Coturnix japonica: one gene and its partners. The protein of the gene in region 3 purifies or fractionates together with the protein of the main gene of each other region. This does not show direct contact. Links are inferred from orthologs where the notes say so. Each region holds a gene or a part of one and is shown on either strand. Other genes may lie near its edges.

Evidence for each region.
Region 1: the proteins of CEP76 (region 3) and CEP97 purify together in Homo sapiens (co-immunoprecipitation; 4 studies listed by BioGRID and IntAct, with this or other methods). This does not show direct contact. The link is inferred for Coturnix japonica from reciprocal best matches to the Homo sapiens genes CEP76 and CEP97.
Region 2: the proteins of CEP76 (region 3) and CEP290 purify together in Homo sapiens (co-immunoprecipitation; 5 studies listed by BioGRID and IntAct, with this or other methods). This does not show direct contact. The link is inferred for Coturnix japonica from reciprocal best matches to the Homo sapiens genes CEP76 and CEP290.

What each region holds. Positions count from the first base shown.
Region 1 is NC_029516.1:76,482,304-76,485,765, reverse strand, and holds the end of CEP97 (centrosomal protein of 97 kDa), read right to left. Parts: intron 2,750-3,462; coding exon 2,674-2,749; intron 2,179-2,673; coding exon 1,524-2,178; intron 1,089-1,523; coding exon 988-1,088; 3' UTR 537-987; downstream 1-536. UniProt on the Homo sapiens protein: Acts as a key negative regulator of ciliogenesis in collaboration with CCP110 by capping the mother centriole thereby preventing cilia formation. Required for recruitment of CCP110 to the centrosome.
Region 2 is NC_029516.1:38,937,870-38,941,524, forward strand, and holds part of CEP290 (centrosomal protein of 290 kDa), read right to left. Parts: coding exon 3,534-3,655; intron 2,542-3,533; coding exon 2,434-2,541; intron 1,899-2,433; coding exon 1,699-1,898; intron 1,239-1,698; coding exon 1,025-1,238; intron 820-1,024; coding exon 682-819; intron 577-681; coding exon 355-576; intron 1-354. UniProt on the Homo sapiens protein: Involved in early and late steps in cilia formation. Its association with CCP110 is required for inhibition of primary cilia formation by CCP110.
Region 3 is NC_029517.1:87,454,240-87,457,894, reverse strand, and holds part of CEP76 (centrosomal protein of 76 kDa), read right to left. Parts: coding exon 3,634-3,655; intron 2,873-3,633; coding exon 2,775-2,872; intron 2,337-2,774; coding exon 2,208-2,336; intron 941-2,207; coding exon 749-940; intron 1-748. UniProt on the Homo sapiens protein: Centrosomal protein involved in regulation of centriole duplication. Required to limit centriole duplication to once per cell cycle by preventing centriole reduplication.

The DNA of each region.
Region 1 (3,462 bases), on a different chromosome or scaffold from region 3:
CAACATGGTCAGAAGAATTACTTTAGGACAGGGCTAGTTGATTTCAGTGACACAGTAGCACCAGAAGTTAATCTGTGTGTTCAGAGAGATGCAGTAGGCGTACATGTTCATGTCTGTGCGACTGGCAGTATTGTTCTTGGAGGAATTAGTATAAGCAAACTGTTGGAAACACCGGCTTTTCACTGCATGTTGCAAAAGACAATAATAGCAAAGCTAACTTTCCCCTAAAAGTCACATCAATCTAACATCCACTGGCAAAACTAATTTCCCTTCCTGCATTTGTCATACAAGTTACCTAATCTTTCTTCACTAAAAAAAAAAAAAAAAAAGTAATTAAAAAAATGGTTTACACAAAATATACCTGCAATTCCTTGCCTGGAGTTTAAATGGAAAGCACAGTTTAGGAAACTAAGTGTATTTTCCAACAGGCAATTAAGATAGTTTCTTATCTACACATAATTGGAATGTCAAATACCATCAAGTAGAAAAAGGAAAAACAACTTCCCCAAAAAAGAAACAACCAAGAGAGATATCAATAGTTTTAAGTCATGACATTTGCTTTTAATATTCATAGCTGTATATAGGAGTTGTGATCCATCAAACACACTCATGTCTAGAAAGTCATGAATCCCAAAATGACATTAGCAACCTCGTGGAGGCAAAATACGTATCATTAAGTCCGCTGCTGTAAGTCAGCAGTGTACTCTTGGAAACTAAGCTCCCAGATCACATGCCCTTTTGAAACTTGGTAAAGGCTGCTACAGGTTCCACTTTGAGTTTTTTCTTACCTGAGAAAAAACAGGGAAATTCAACCCCAGGGAAAACAAAGACCAAAGTTTGTTTGAAGCTCCCCTAAGGTCTGACTCCTCTAAGTCTTTGTTTCAGAATCTATATAACTGACCAAACTCTGAGCCAGCAGCTTCAAGTAAAAGATAGTAAGATGTCACTGGCTTGGACACAGGATTCATGGAACGCATATCTGAAATGCTAACTAACACTTGCTGTAGTCAAAAGCTCTGAAAGGCAACTGCTTTCATCTTCTTTCATCAGATTTTTCTCTTTGCAGAGCAAGGATTCAATTCTGTTTTCTAGAAGGAAAAAAAATAATCAGAAGACTAACTAACACGTTCATTGAGGTGAATTTACAGCCAACACCCCTCTGCGCCCCTTCAGAACTAATTTCAAGGAAGCCATTTACTAGAATATCAGCTACGTGTTAGAAAATAAAGTGCATAATGAAAGACACTGAGAACTTCGTTGACTTCAAGCTAGCACAGTATACGTCAGTCCTCAGCAACATGAGCAGACTGCCAATTAAAACAAATTGTTAACATGAGTATAGAATGTGAATAAATAAAATCCAAGCACACAATAATGGAAATAAGTTTTATATAAATGGGGGAACAAAAACAAACAAAACTGAAATGGAATCCCTAGTCCTTAGTGAAACAGAGCCTACTATACAGCTATTCCAACATGCAGCATCTGAAATGAAGAATCACAGTCTGTTTGCTTCCCCTCACCTATTCCTGAATCTAGTTTGCAGCTGTCAGGTGTCTGATTCATTTCACCTCGTGCTGGGGAAGATGTCCCTTGAGGGATACCTACAGACAGAAGGTCAGATGAAGAATCTTGGCTCTCTGCTGAAATATCAACTTGTGGCCAGCCACCCTCTTCTCCTTCATCATTGCAATTTGTCCCTTCATCCGCCTCTACTAGTTGCTCAACAGATTCCAAATACTGCTGTAGAAGCCTGTTGTCCTGCTCGTTATTCGAGCTCTCTGTGCTTTGTTCACATCCCCCACCGTCATCTTCTACATCTGAAGAACGTTCTGAAGCAGAATTGCCACACTGTTTGATGGTTTCCACCGAAAGAGAGCCCTCAGTTCCTTCTGTTAGACTCTTTTCATCAGTACACAAGTCACCAGTATGAGTCTGGTCAGCCATGGCAGAATGAAAGCCAGAATCTGGGAACTGTAACAAAGGCTTCTCCTGAAGGACATCACCAGCTGGAGCTAAGCAAGCAGAACTGACATCTGATGGGGTTTCTTGCTCAAGAGTAGATGTTTGAGTGGACGGTTCTGAGAGACAAGAAGTACCGGCTGAAGGGATCCCAGGTTGACAAGTGGTACCTAAGTGTTGTGTCACTGTAAGCTGCCACTGTTGAAGGGATTTAACCTGCAAAGTATAAAAAGCACTTAGGTTTCTAAGCTATTGCAATTGGCAACAAAGCTCTAATCAAATATTCAAGCTCGGGAAGAAATAACAGCTTATTAAAAGATATATATACATGCTTTTTCTACTCTAGAAATGATTTGATTGATGAGAAGCAACACCGCTCGACACTATTTCACTTGCCCTAAGCATCCAGCAGGTGCATCAAGTCTCATGCCTACCATGCTTGTTTAGTTTTCCTTGCACTTTGTCCTTCTTCTCATATCAAGCTGTATTTTATCACTTTATTACAAACACAGCTTATTGCATTAACACTTCTGAATGTTACTTTTCCCCTGAGTAAAAGAACAGCCAAATCCATTGCAATTAGATTCTAATAAGCCACTGAGCTTGTAATTGGAAGAATGAACCATACTCACCATCTCTTCATGCTCTATAGTATGAAATATCTTCTCTATTCATAAGCAAAAAAAAAATAAGAGGACTACAGCTATTTACCTGGTTCCAAACAAATCTGACAGCTTCCTCCTGTACAAGCCTCTGAATCTTATCTTCCTCTCTTTCTTTTCTTAGTCTGCAAGAACACATATCCAAAATAATGCAAATTAAATAATATCCTGGTAACAAAATCAACAAGATTACATAAAAATGCCCTCTGAACTTCTGAAAACACCATTGAGCCCAACACTGGCTTGTCATCAATATCCAGTTGCTGTCCGTCCAAGTAACAATTAAGAGTTTGCTTTCCTTTTGCTGTCAAACATGCACTGACTTGCTAATACTTCAAGGATCTTTTTGCATACTGAACCTGACCTCTTCAAGTAGATGTGTCTCTTTCTCCTGAAGTAGGAAGGAGATAAAGGAAGAAAAATAGTGCTTCTGCGCTTTAAATTCTGCCTTCCCCACCTGATGCCATCAAGATAAATGTGGAGGTATCATGTGAAAGCATTGGGATTTTCTATAGGCTCACCAAGAGCTCAGTCTGATTCACAGAACTTCTGTCATTTATGATAGTAAACCAAAGGGATCTGACAAACTGTTCCCAGACTGATCCTGAACGATATTAATATATCCACAATTCCTGTATTACAAGTTGAGAAACTTTGATAACAATCCCCCTAAAACATAGATTCATGTGATCAAAAAACAGAATCGTATTTGAAAATCATAAAAGCAAAGTGAGAATCATTCCTCTGACGGTTAACAGAGGAATGACTCAATACCAACACTTAGACTTTGTAATTGCTAACAAATTAAGTCAAAAAGCTCATAATTTACAACTGCTAT
Region 2 (3,655 bases), on a different chromosome or scaffold from region 3:
ATTAGTTAGTTGAATTCAGAAACAAAGTTCAGACAGTTATACTTCCAAACAGGAAGGTCACAAAATTCAAGCTAGCCATTCTTAACAGCTTTAAAAGTGGCAATTCAACTCTTCAAACTCTAAATTTGTTACAAGAAAAAAGTATTTTTTAGCCTGTTCAATTTATTTGAGACATACTTCCAACAGGAAAGACTAATAGCTCATTTGTAACTCAGCTGATAGCAAACATACACTTTTATATTGATTCTTGGTCTCAGTGCCTGTCAAAATCAGTTAATCTTTCCTCCATCAAGCCAGCCCATCTAGTATAAAAGCTTAACCAAGGTGAAATACATTTTTAAAAATCACTTCTACCTGAATACCACTGGTTAGTCTCTTGATCCGTTTCTTCAGTTCATCATTTTCCATTTCGATTTCATTTTTTTCTCTTGTCATTTTAGTAAATGCCTTTTGCTTCCTCTGAAGTTCTTGGTTGAGCTCATCCCTTTCATCTAATAAAGATCTTTCCCTGTTTTTACTCAGTTTAAGATTATCTGTAAGTTTTGAAATCTGATTATTTAGTTCCTCTATCTGTGTCTAGAGGAAAAAAAATACAGAAAAAAAACAAAAACAAAAAACAAAAAACATCAAGATGTACCAGCAACATAATAATAGACTACAAAGACATTACCTTGTACTCACCATGAGCTTCTTAGTTTCTCTGTCAACAATTTCCTGGACGTTCATATATGCCTCTTTCTGTGATGCTGCAGAAATTATCTGCTGTTCAGCATTTGCAGTCATTTCTGATCGAAGTACCAGAAGTGCTTTACTCAAAGCCTGAAAATAAAAGATGCAAGTTATAGTAGGAGAAGAAGCCACTAATATGAACACCAGAAAACAACAAAATGCAACTGTATTTTATATTAAATTATGCAATCATGTTTCACTTCTTGCTGTACCATACATAGAATTCTTAAATATTAAGCCACTTTAAACATTAATTTTTATTTGTGATCTAGATATTTAATTTTTGTTGACTGACTTTCTGCTGCTTCTCTTTTAGGGCTAACTGGTTCTTCAGCTGTTCCACTAGGCTCTTCATTGTTGCTGTAGGTGCTCTCTTATTTGCTTCTTTTTGAGCCTCTAGTTCAGCTTTTACATGGGCTAATTCCTTCTCTGTTTGAGACAGCAACTTCCTCAATCCATTTGCTTCATCTTTTAGTAGTTCCACATCAACTGCATGTTTTTCCTGAAGCCTAATGTAAAATAAACATTAATAGGGCAAATCACTTAATTATTAGCTAGCAAATTCCAAATAAAACAACAATGTTGTATTTTTTGTTGTTAAAGCAAATCATCGTAGAAACACAGAATGGGCTGAGTTGGATGGGACATCAAAGCTCATCTAGTTCTAACCCACTCGTCATGGGCAGGGACGCCTCTCACTAAGGTTGCCTGAGAGCCCAGCCACTCTGGCCTTGCATGCATCTGGGGATGGGGCATCCATGCTCTCAGCAAGCTGTTCCAGTGTCTTACCATCTAATGAGTAAAGAAATGATATATAAATCTGAGAATAGCAAACAAGAAAAAAATAAAAAAATAAAAAAAAATTCGGCCAAACCTAAATATTAGGTAAAATATGTACAATTCAGCAGACCCTGTCAGTAACAGCAACACATAGCTGACCAGCTTAAAGTTAACTGTCTGAAAACTTACTGGGCTCTGATAGTCTCAAAGTCTTTGATTTTCATTACAGTAATCTGTTTTTGTTTCTCCAAATCAGATGATGTTTTCTTCAATTTAACAGCAAGTGAAGCAAGAGAATTGTCCTGTTCTGCCACAGTTTGCTCCATTTCAGCTAAACGGAGGAAGAGTTCATTGCTCTTAAGCGATAGAGAAGGATTTTCCATTAACTCCTGTAAAACAGAACAAATGTGTATGATAAACATCTTATGCTTTAAATCAAAGGTTAGTGATGCATTTTAAACTCAGTTCTAACCGAACGTTAGTATCTAGAATGTTTAGCTAATGAGATACAATTTCTATATCATGCTGAAAAGAACTTTGCACATGGAATAATCTACAGAATAACCAATTACATGTGGGTGTCACCTTATCATCAATTGTCAAAGGAAAATCTGCATTATAATGGACTTAATGCAACTGACAGAAAGAATAAAGAAAAAATAAACGTTCATCCTTCCTCTGTAAGTCTCCAGATTAGAATAAAAAGAATGATGATGTAGTCTAAAGTAGAAATTTTCTGTTTCACACTTGTCATCTAATTGATCTATCTCAAATTCAAGAATTTCTGAAGTTCTTTCTGTATTGACCATCTATTTATTTTTCATCATCATTATTACTTAATTTTGACTACAAAACTGTTCTTTTGAGTAACCAGTTTCAACATACAGAACAAGTTCACTAATCCCACTAATACACACAACTTACCAAAGCAGTCTGTTTCAATTTATTGAAAGAATTCTCAGTATGCGAATCTAACTTCTGGTGTAGAATTCTTACATCTTCTTCATGTTTCCTTGCTAATTCCTCTTGTTCCTGTTAGTTCAAAATAGAAATGTGATTCTACTGATGCACATGGAACTGAAGTACCCTCCAAACTGATTCTTCAGTTATTGTTCAGTACTGTTCCTCAATTTTTCCTCCAGTTCTTCTGTTTTTAAAAAGACTTTGCATCTTGTTAATGATTATACCTTTCTTTTTTTCCATCTTCTCAGCACTTACTACTAGAAAGTTGTGACTATTGCAGTTTTCAGATATATTGCAAGTAGTGTACTGTAAAATGGCGGGAGCTAGAAAGCAAACAGCTGCTGGTGCTCCTCACCAACTGTGACTCGCTCTGGGTAGTGATATCCATACTATATAGTATTCAGGGCTGCCTACTTTGGACTAACTTTAATGCGATCCTATGGGTTAAATGTCTACTAGCAGACAGAGCACAGTACGTTCATTCTAAAGACTGCATCTTCTGTTTTAGCTCCTATCCTAAAACTTGATCTCTCTCAGATAAATTAACTATGTATGTTAAGTAAACAATTATGCTTCAGATATATGCCTCTGTTCCAAACAAATGTTAAGAATACAATAATATGTTTTAACACAAGCTTATGCTTTAAAAGTATACTTTAAATGACAGTATACGTAAGAAGTGTGTATTCCATAAATGCACTTTCATATGCCTTCCAAATTTACTGCAAGATTAAGTACACGGATCACCATTGCAAATACTTGAAAAGACTCTGGAAGAATGGAGACCACTTCTCCCAGCAAATTTTTATCATCTTCCTTTAATGCAAATTTAATTCCTAGACATATACCATATACATAAACCACTTGACCAAGCAAACCTCTTATTTAAAGAAGTTAAAAAATTGTACATTAACTTTCTATGGAAAAAGAAAAAAACAAAACAAGTAATTGTATTCTGTTCTCTCTGAAACCAAGAAGAATTTTTCCATTAGCAGCGAGGTTAACAAAAGATCAACTAAAACTTTACAAATGGAAAAAAAGTTTATGCAATTCATAACTACCTTTCTTGCTTTAGCAAGCAGATCTTGGTATTTTTTTACCATTTCTTCCTTGTGATTTAATCGTTCTTGCATATTTGCAATAGTTTGATGAGCAATTTTTATTGCACAGTGGTACTCTGGAT
Region 3 (3,655 bases):
TAAAAACATTAGAAAAAGAAAGCAGTATTTCTCCAGTTGTTATCTAACAAGTCGCGTTTCCCTCCTATTTACCTAAAACATGCACCAGAAGTCAGGACTTCAAGGTTACAAACTTAAGAATCTTGAATTCCTCTTTTTAATATGCACCATATCAAAGTATATCAGGCTTTTACAACTTCCAATGGAGTTATTGTTCTTCACAGAGGCTCATATGGTGCTGCATTTTGGATTTTTTATGAGAACAGTGCTGACAGCACACCATTGCAGGTGCTGCAGAGCAGCGTTTACACAGACACAAGGATATTTCAGTTCTTCATGCTGCCTTGCCCATAAAGGGCTGTGGTACACAAGGAACTGAGAGGACAGAAACAGGATAACAGCTGATCCAGACCACCCAAAGGATGTCCCATGTCACATGTCATAGCGCTCAGCAACATAAGCTGGGTTGAAGGAGGAAAAGGGGATGTTTGTGATGATGGCTTTTATTTTTCCCCCCTTAAGGAACCATTACACATGATGTCCAATGGATTCATTGAAAAAAGGATTCAAGCAACAGCACTGAATAAAGTAAGTCAGCTCCAAAGCCCTCTTGTCTAATACTTAACATCTGCCACTATTTGATCTTATAAAAGCTATTTGCATTTATGAGTTCTCTGAAATGGATTCAGTCCACCTTTTGCAACCTGTTTTAAATGACTAACTTCATTCCAACTATAAAAGTTGTCATGCAAAGACTGTTTTTACATACCTTGTTTCTACATACGAATGCAAGAAGTGTGCACCACTGCTCTTGTTTGCCACCACCTCCTCCGATGACAGGAGCTCTTTCATAACCCAGGACACTGACAAATCGTGCTGCTTGTCTAGGTGTGTCTAGCAACCGGCCCGCTCGAAGTGGTCTGATATATGAACATACCGGACGGTTTACTCCATTTTCATCCTGAACGTGGTAAAGAAATAATAGTACTATTAAAACTTCCTAAAGCAATCCATTATCTACTGTTAGTTTCCAGTGAAGCTTCCATTCCGGCTGCACCAGGTGTGTTCAGCAGTGAGATGAATGCACCACACCCTTACGTGGAAGCTGACACTACTCCCGTACACAGCTGGTGAAGCCAGAAGAGAAGACCTCACTTCCCTGAAGACAAACAGCAGGTGTGGATTGCTTCCGGAAGTTATTTCATCATCTGTGCCAGGAAAATTGCTGCTCTACAAGTTAAATTCATATATTAGCATGATAAACACAAAGCATCACAGAATGGCCCAGGTTGGAAGGGACCTCAAGGATCAAGAATCTCCAAATCTCCTGCCACAGGCAGGGCCACCAACCTTGCCATTTAATAGTAGACCAGGTTGCCCAGGGCCCCATCCAACCTGGCCTTGGACACCTCCAGGGATGGGGCATCAGCAGCCTCTCTGGGCAGCCTGTTCCAGCACCTCACAACTCTCAAAGAACTTCCCCCTGACATCCAGCCTAAATCTTCCCTCCCTCAACTTGAAACCATTTCCCCTTGGCTGTCTGTTATCTACCCTTTCAAAGGCTTGACTCTCCTCCTGTTTGTAGGCTCCCTTTAAGTACTGAAAGGCTGCAATGAGGTCACCCTGCAGCCTTCTTTTCTCCAGGCTGAACAAGCCCAGCTCCCTCAGCCTGTCCTTATAGTCCCATACCATTCCTACTACTGAGGGGCAGTCACCAAGGAACAACTGATGTGATTGTGACGTAAGTTACAACACAGTAACTTACTAGCCAATGATTTGTTCACATCTGTAACTACCATGCAACATTCACCAGCCAGATTACTTTATTAACCACAGAGTGCTCAAATATTATATGGATCTGCTCCAGTATATCCAGTAACTCCACTACTTATTACTGTATAAAACCTGTCTGCAATAGTTTGTATAGATCACTTAAGCATTTGCCATTTGTACTTATTCAAGGAAAAGACTAAAATGGCTTTTCTACCTCCTACACCAGGGGTGCTTGGAGCAGCCTTTCTCTATGAAACATACTCTTCAGCTTCAGTATACATAGTTCAAGTCTTGAAAACTTCATTGTCAGCATACTGTATCACATGTAGCCCTGAATGGAATCTAACCACATCATAAATCTATACAAATTCTACATACACAAACTTCAAACATGCAGCTAAGACTAAAAAAAACACCTTGAAGAACAGATTGGTGTATTTGTAAAATATACAAACCTGTGCAAAAATCTTTACCAGCCTTGAGTTGTGTGTAGGCCTGATCTGCAGGTATTCTCTCCACCACTGTTTAGCATACACAAGAAATAAACGTTCTTTTTCTGCTGTCTTCTGACGTTCCAAAGTAAACTACAGGTAGGAAAATACACACAACCATTCACACATATAATAATTCCAAACAAGAACAAAAAGTAATCAATATACATACTAGCACATGATCCTTGCATATGAAAAATGAAGTTTAATATGACAGCATGCAACCAATGCTAAAGAATAGTATTTTAAAGTGAAAATCCAATGAATGTAAAACTCAATTTACATTTCTTGTTTGTAGGCTGATATATCAAGCTTGACTGAAGTAGTGTTCATCTTCAGTGACGCATATCTGTATAGAAGGACTACTCACCTTGCTAAGTGTGGAATAATATCTGTAACACCTTTGGGCCACCATTTACTGGCTTTTCAAGTAGAGTAACCGACCCTTTATCTACATAAATAACTGTACAGTGTGCATCCCCCCTGCTGATAAAAGAACAGGCCATCCCTCACCCCCTACATATTACTTACCTGAGTGCTTGTTATTTCTGGAGACAGAGTCTTAGTAAGTGGTGGATACATTTCAAGTCTGATGTTCAAAACACCGACAGAAACCTTTGATTCTGTACCTTTGAACCAAAATACATTCCTATCAGTCCTTTCAAATTCATTTGACACAGAACAAATAATAGTTTTAATCATACCATCATAAAAATAAAACCCCATAAACTTCTCTAAGTACATACAACACAAAGATCTTCACTGAAATATTCTACTCAAGAATGAAAGGAATGATAACCTGGCTAAAGAAGCTGGTAACTGGATCTGAGCCCTAAGGGCCTCTTTCCAGGTGATACCAGAACATACAAGATGAATGCTGTTCTGTAAGGGCTAGAATAGGCACCTACAAATAGACTGGAAGAGCCACAGTGTACAAGTGCCCATTGTTACTGAATGTACAACTCACTGCTCAGATCACTGTGGTTAGAGCAGGATCATAACTGCTACACAGGACAAGCTAGATTTTACACTTGAGAACACTGACACGGTATTTTTCCTGGAGACGCATTTGTTGATTTATGTTTGTTTTGATAGTTTACCCACATCCTGGAGATAACAGAGGCTCCCAGGTACAGGGACCACTATTGCACAGGATCTGGAACACACATTCTTAACACTTTGATAAGACAAAAATCTGACCATTAGTCCTTTATATAAACTCTTCTTAAGGATACCTTAAAGTAATTCATGAGTTGATACCTTAAAGTAATTCATGAGTTGATTAGCTGAACTGAAATCAAACCAAACCATAAATACTACTTTAAGCTTCTAATCAAACTTAGTACGCAATACTTTAACTCATCGTTAAATGCTCATTAGTTATTCTTACCTACACCCAGGAGTTCAACAGC